Linked DNA regions of Oryzias latipes. The protein of the gene in region 1 interacts with the protein of each later gene in a biochemical or structural test. Links are inferred from orthologs where the notes say so. Each region holds a gene or a part of one and is shown on either strand. Other genes may lie near its edges.

The links.
Region 2: the proteins of melanocortin receptor 4 (region 1) and pomc form a complex in vitro, tested with the Homo sapiens proteins (2 studies listed by BioGRID). The link is inferred for Oryzias latipes from reciprocal best matches to the Homo sapiens genes MC4R and POMC.

What each region holds. Positions count from the first base shown.
Region 1 is NC_019878.2:23,831,299-23,835,029, forward strand, and holds melanocortin receptor 4, read left to right. Parts: upstream 1-1,289; 5' UTR 1,290-2,157; coding exon 2,158-3,123; 3' UTR 3,124-3,230; downstream 3,231-3,731.
Region 2 is NC_019860.2:10,968,531-10,972,292, forward strand, and holds pomc (pro-opiomelanocortin), read left to right. Parts: upstream 1-1,229; 5' UTR 1,230-1,350; intron 1,351-2,103; 5' UTR 2,104-2,106; coding exon 2,107-2,223; intron 2,224-2,557; coding exon 2,558-3,079; 3' UTR 3,080-3,214; downstream 3,215-3,762.

The sequences.
Region 1 (3,731 bases):
TGTGATGTTTTACAAGACCCCACAAACTGTGGTGAGGAGGTCCTGATCTGCAGAATCTGAATTAGTTTTGTGTCTTGGGAGAGAAGGATTTACATCCCCGGGAATCTGGCTAAAGATTCTAGACCAGGGGCGCCCAAATCCAGCCCTCGAGGGCCGGTGTCCCACATGGTTTCCAACCATCCTGCCATTGAAGCTCCTCGTCGGCTAAACACACCTGATCCATGTAATCAACAGCAGATAAGGCAGGGTTTCTGGAAAACTAGCAGGGGGCCGGCCCTCGAGGCCTGGATTTGAGCAACCCTCGTCTAGACAGATGGACCTCAACCTCCTCCCAGAGTGTCCAGAGTGACCTGCACGTCTCAGAGTTCTGGAGATGTTCAGGTCCATCCCTAATGTAGAGGATATGTTCAGGTCCAACAGGGACGGAACGGTCCAGTCGATCATTCTCTCAGCATAGTAAACATTGTCTGCTGTCTGAGTTTGATCCTGGGTGTGGCTCTAATCAGTGATGGCGGAGGTCAGCATGGACTCACCAATGGCGGAAAACTGCACCATGGTTTTGGCTGGGAGCTTGAGCTTCTTCAGCTCCTCAAGAAGAGCTTTTTCTTAACTAAAAGACCCATTTGAGTCGATTTCTCACTGACCGACCACAACCTAAAACGTGCCCCAAAGTCCGACTTCACCCTTCAGAAGATTAAGATTTATAGTAATGGTTTTGTTACTATTATGATAACAATAAAGGAATTCTTGTTTTATATCATAAATAAAAATAAAGAGAAAATAGGCTTTTTTATTCAGGAAGTATAACTTTTGACAAAGGTCTTTGACAAAATGTCACAGAAGCTCATCTCAATGCAGTGAAAGAAGCAGTTTGATTTAATGTAAACAAATAAATACATTTTTTCCAATTTGCGCCTTCAGTATAAATTCTGGTTGTGCTTGCCGACCTCCAGTTGATTTTCTGTGGTTAACGGCGCTCGTAAATCTGTCAAAATGTTTTAGGTCAACTTTGGTAAAAGCCACACTGCTGGATGGATTGTTGGGGCATTATGGGTACTGTAGTCAGGAGCTTGACAGTGATACGAACTGTTCTTCAGCTGTTTAGGGATGGATTGAATAACAATGGAGTTGCCCCGGACCCCTGACTGATGGAGGCGTAAAAGACGAGCCAGGCAGGGGGGGGGGGGGGGGGGTTTGAAAGGGTTAGTCTACTGCAAGTATCTGCTGAGTCTTCATCTCTCTTGTTTCCTCCAATGTTCTCATTGCATTCTTTTCGTTAGAGTCTGAACGGGTCTCCTCATCTGAGGTTTCTCCTTCTTTTCTAAGTAATAGATTACAATAGATAACAGTTACATTTATAATATCATTTTTGTGTGATGGAACACTTCCTGTTCTGAGGACAAACCACAGAGACTCACATATTTCATTTCTGGATGGTAGTATGTTTATTTTCATTTTTCTGTGTTTCAGCAGAGGGTCTTCATGACAACAAGCCTCTGACTGAGACGGTCGCTGGTTTCATGTCAGCTTAATGTATATTCATAAACAAGCTGACTAAGAGAAATGCATCAATGAGGCAAAGTTTTAGTTTAAAAACATTTAATTTACTGCAGGATTACTCTATTTTTACATCAAAATGTGGAAAATTTCATATTCATGAGCAAATTTATCTATAAACTGAAACTAAAGTTTCCCTTCCTTCACTGTTGGAGCTTTTTTTTAATTTTCTATATTGTTTACATTTTTATCAAATGAACCACAGGGGAAGAAGTGCTGCAGCAGCCATTGTGAAAATTCCATTCATGCATTTGGTCGACCTAGCTCCTCCTCCTCCTCCTCCCTCCTTATCAGCGAGCAGACAGGATGGGGTGGGGTGGGGGGCTGCTATAATAACAGAGAGGCGGAGGGCAGAGACAGACCGAACAGGCTTGTGCAGCGATGCTCTGCTGGCTGGAGCACAGTGACGGGGAGCCTCCTGATTTCCGTTTCTTAGACTTATTTTAGGGTTTTTGACAAACCAGAGTGGAAAAATAAAAGGTATCTACAGACGACTGTCTTCTGAAAAAGAGAAGAAGACTTTTTTTTTCTTTCTCTTTCTTGGAGCTCATAAAGTCCATGGATTGATAGAAACAAAGAAAAGCATTGCTTGCTGTCATCATGAACTCCACTCTGCCTTATGGGTCGGTCCCCAACAGAAGCCTCTCCTCGGCCACTCTCCCTCCTGACCTGGGAGGACAGAAAGACTCGTCGGCGGGATGCTACGAGCAGCTTCTGATCTCCACTGAGGTCTTCCTCACTTTGGGCATCATCAGCCTGCTGGAGAACATCCTGGTTGTTGCTGCGATCGTTAAAAACAAGAACCTCCACTCCCCCATGTACTTTTTCATCTGCAGCCTCGCAGTAGCCGATATGTTGGTCAGCGTCTCCAACGCGTCTGAGACCATCGTCATAGCGCTCATTAACGGAGGCAACCTGAGCATTCCTGTCAGGCTCATCAAGAGCATGGACAATGTGTTTGACTCCATGATCTGCAGCTCTCTGCTGGCCTCCATCTGCAGCTTGCTGGCCATTGCCGTTGACCGCTACATCACCATCTTCTACGCTCTGCGATACCACAACATCGTGACGCTGCGGCGAGCAGCCGTGGTCATCAGCAGCATCTGGACGTGCTGCATTGTGTCGGGTATCCTCTTCATCATCTACTCGGAGAGTACCACGGTGCTCATCTGTCTCATCACCATGTTCTTCACCATGCTGGTGCTCATGGCCTCCCTCTATGTCCACATGTTCCTGCTGGCACGTCTGCACATGAAGCGGATCGCGGCGCTGCCGGGCAACGCGCCCATCCACCAGCGGGCGAACATGAAGGGCGCCATCACCCTCACCATCCTCCTCGGGGTGTTTGTGGTGTGCTGGGCGCCGTTCTTCCTCCACCTCATCCTCATGATCACCTGCCCCAGGAACCCTTACTGCACCTGCTTCATGTCGCACTTCAACATGTACCTCATTCTCATCATGTGCAACTCCGTCATCGACCCCATCATCTACGCTTTCCGGAGCCAGGAGATGAGGAAAACCTTCAAGGAGATCTTCTGCTGCTCCAACGCTCTCCTGTGTGTGTGACGTATGTGTGTGTGTGTCTGTGTGGCTGCAACGTTCAACCAATCAACTGTCCTGGAGTGGCATGTAGCAGGAATGCTCATGTGACCAGCATGCATCCACATCTACAACCTCTGGATTCCACAGAGTTACAGGAACACAAAAGTCCCACGGTTTCAAAAATGACCTGAAGGCAGCACCAGGAGCTCACGCACCGAAACGGAGCCATGATCACAGGATGATGGACGGGAGAAACAAATGAACATACAAACAATTCCACTGGCATCAAAAGAAAATAGCAAAAACACTTCTTCTCTTGTAATGGTAATTCTAAAATCAAACACACTTGGCTTGGTCTGATCTGCCAATCAGGGTGTTTTACTTGAATGGAGCCAGAACAGTGTGTGAAGGTGTTTAAGGGAGATGGCCCAGGTTCTGCTCACATCCCTGGAAAAACCTTACGGCAACAGAAAAAGGAGCACAAGCAACAAACCCCCTTTCTCTCAGGTCCATCTTCCTGATGATGCACTGACGGAAAATAGGATTAAATGTGAAAAGAAAATCTCAAATCATGACTTTCTCAGGCACTATTTTACATGACCGTTATGCATTCTTCCTTTTGTTTTTGTTTA
Region 2 (3,762 bases), on another chromosome or scaffold:
CTCTTGCTGCTCTGCATAATCGATGTCTTAAAAATGACAGATTTTTAGATTTTGCCTAAAAACACCATCATTTTAATTGAAAGACCACAGGGAACGCTTTTATAATAGATCCAAAGATGATCATCCATCCATCCAACCATTTCCTCAACCTGCCTCATTCCTTTTGGGGTCACAGCGTTGCTGGAAACTGTCTCAGGTACTGTTGGATGAAGGCGGGGTACACCTTGGACAGGGTGCCTGTCTGTCGCACTCACACTCACACACCTAGAGACCTAGGGACACTTTAGAGTAACCAATCAATCTATAAAGCATGTGTTTGGAGTCTGGAGTGCCCAGAGATTGATCCATCTTTTCAATATTTTTTCAAACATTCAGGACCACTTTACAAAATTTATCTAAATGTGACTTTCTCAGTTGAATGAAGATTAAATAAAAATATCCTTCTGCAGCCATGTCCATGGACGTTGGCTACAGTGCTGCTGACCTTAAACTCACAGTATATTTAATAAGCTTAAGTAACAGGAACATCAAGCTGTTTGGAGATGATCTGTTTTATTAACAGAAGGGGAGCAGCCATGCATCTACATGTTTTTCACTGATTATAAGGAGCTGTGGGAAGCGTGTCCTGGATGGAAAATGTGGCTGCTCTTCATCAGCTGCTCCATGAAATCAGATGAACTCTCCACTGATTCAGCATTAGGGCCACCCGGACCCTGGACAAAGAGATGCCGCTCAGCGCAGCTTTGTGGGTGTGTGACTGTACACCCTGACCCGCGACTTTGACGAAATCCCACCTGGGTGTTAAGCTGCAGAAGCTGCTGCCTGACATTTCACAGACAACAGCAGCGGCGAGGCGCTTTCACGCAGATTTAAACTGATGAGTTTTAGCTGCTGTAGCTTAGATGTGTTTGTTTTCTGTTCCATTTGTGCTTTTTACAATTAAAAGTGACCAAAAAATCTGTGATGTTAAAGACAAACATAAATTCTGAAAACATTTGTTTTGTCTAAAAATCGAGAAAACAAAATAGAAAAAAAAAATGAAGGCAGGTCTTCATGTGTGTGTGCTTGTATCCGTGTGTGTGCAGTGAATGGACGAGGGTGGATCTGGGACATTTTTTATTGATTTTTTGTGTGCGTTTTTGACCGCAAACCCATGCACACGTCATCTGTGTATGCGTGTGTGTGTTCACGCATGTGTGTGCGTCCTTGGTCAGCAGAATATAAAAGTCCAACTCTGCTCGAAGCATCAGAGCAGAAGAGGATCAAGGGAAATCTTCATCCGGCGGCTAAACAAAACAGAAAGCAGCAGCAATAAGAGGAAGAGGAGAGACAAAGAAACTATAAGGAGGGGTGAGAATATTTTATTGTACTTTATAATGAAAATGTAAAAAAAAGTTGTATTTTTAAAGTTTTACAGCCTTTTTACTTCACTTAATTACTAAATTACTAATAATTTTTAACTAACAGTTTCTAAATCAGAGCAGATTTTAAAAAAAAAATTAAGACCAGTGTTAAATATTCGAGGTTAAGAAAACAAAGTGCTTAATATATGAAACTTAAATAAATATTTTATTTTTATTTGTTAATTCTCCAATCTGATCTCCAAAATACATATATTAATACAATAATTTTGCATCATCTAATAATATTATTAAGGTAAAATGGTGAAATGTAAATTTCTTAACATGCTTGTTTTAGGTCTTTTAAAAAGTTTAAATATTTGATTTTAGATATACTTTTCTTAATTTTTGTGACAACGTGTAACCTTTGTGATTGAATAAATAAAAAAAAGGTTAAAAAAATGATATAACCGGTGCCAAAACAAGGTGCTAAAATAATATATCAATGTTTTGATTTTGTTTTTATTCAGTCAGATTTGTGGCCACCACTGTTTTTTTAACATATATTAAAAACAAAGATGTGTTTTTTTTCTTGTCAAATTACTTCCAAAACCTGTGGTTTTTACTTAAAAAATGAAATGTAAACAATAAAAGAAGAGTATAATTGAAAAAAAAATTAACCCCAAAAGATAACTAATCTACATAAAAATTGATTTTAAAACTCCAAAACTGAGTGGGATTGTGTTTTTTTTTTGCTTCACAGAGGATGTATACCGTTTGGTTGCTGGTGGCCGTGGTGGTTGTCGGTGGGGCTGAAGGAGCAGTCGGCCAATGCTGGAAGCACTCCAGCTGCCAGGAGCTGGACTCTGAGAGCAGCATGACGGTACAGAAGACGGTCAAAGCAACAATAAGCAGAATCTGCATTTCCTGATCATTTTCATCCACAGTTCAGCTGTTTTGTTGCTTCAAATGGAGTCAAAACAGAATTTTTTGACTCGACTTCTCTGTTGGTTAATTCTTCCTACATTTACCAATAATTCAGATTTAAGGGGTTTGAGAATCTGTAAAATAAAGTGCAAATTTTGACCCAAAAATAGGTTTTTCTTTAGGAAAATGTGATAAGCACTTTAAACTCAACATCCACATCTCCCATTACAAAAACACATCTGCTGTTTTAACACCTTCAGTTGACTGTCAATCTCATCTTTTTACTCCAGGAGTGCCTCCAGCTCTGCCGCTCTGACCTCACCGCCGAGACCCCCCTCATCCCAGGCAGCTCCCACCTCCAGCCTCCACCTCCCTCAGATCCCTTCTCTTTCATCTCTCCATCCCCTCAAACCAAACGCTCCTACTCCATGGAGCACTTCCGATGGGGCAAGCCCGTCGGGCGCAAACGTCGCCCCGTCAAGGTCTACACCCCAAACGGAGTGGAGGAGGAGTCCTCTGAGGTTTTCCCAGGTGAGATGAGGAGGCGGGAGTTGGCCAATGAGCTGCTGGCGGCTGCAGCGGAGGAGGAGGAGAGGGCTATGGAGGAGGTGGAGGAGGAGGAGGAGCGTCAGCATCTCCTGGCTGGCCTGCAGGAGAAGAAGGATGGCTCCTACAAGATGAAGCATTTCCGCTGGAGCGGCCCTCCCGCCAGTAAACGCTATGGCGGCTTCATGAAGAGCTGGGAGGAGGATCGCCAGAAACCACTGGTGACGCTCTTCAAGAACATCATCAACAAGGACGAGCAGCAGTGAGATTCCAGAAAAAAAGAAAAGAAAAAGGAGAAGTCAAAACACAAAAGGGGGGGGGGGATTTGCCATAAATAATCAGCAGGCAGCAAAGAGTTCTCATTGGTTCTTTTGTTCCCAATAAAAGACTCTGAAACTGCAGTGTTTTGGCGACAGAATTGTGAGGATTTTTACTGTGTTGTAAATAATAATATTCTTTAAATGAAAAGAGATTTATTTGCAAGCAATGACGAACGGTGTTTGTCTTTTTCTCTACATCCGACATCAGCTTAAAGTCCCACTCCAATCATCCTATGATCTATGTTAAAGCAGTGGTCTTTAAACTATGATTATGATTTTTTTCCAGTAAAATCTCTAAAATCTGGGCCGTTTACCAAGACAGAGTTTCTGCAGAAGCTCATCAGAAATTGACCTCTGAGTTGTGGGTGGGGCCATTGGCATGGAGTAAGCTCTACCACACTCCCCGTCATCCTTCTTGTTTACACTCTCTCCCACTAGCTTACAGCCCCTCACAACCCCAACCTAACATTTGCGGTGCAGTTTTGAGCCAGATGCCAGCTTGGAAGAAGAAGCAAAAATGTACTATATTTCCCGCACTAAACGGGGGCACCAGATCATAAGGTGCACCCTATAGCACATTCTTAAACTCACACTATATCGAGAAAGTATTGGCTCACCCACTTTGACTC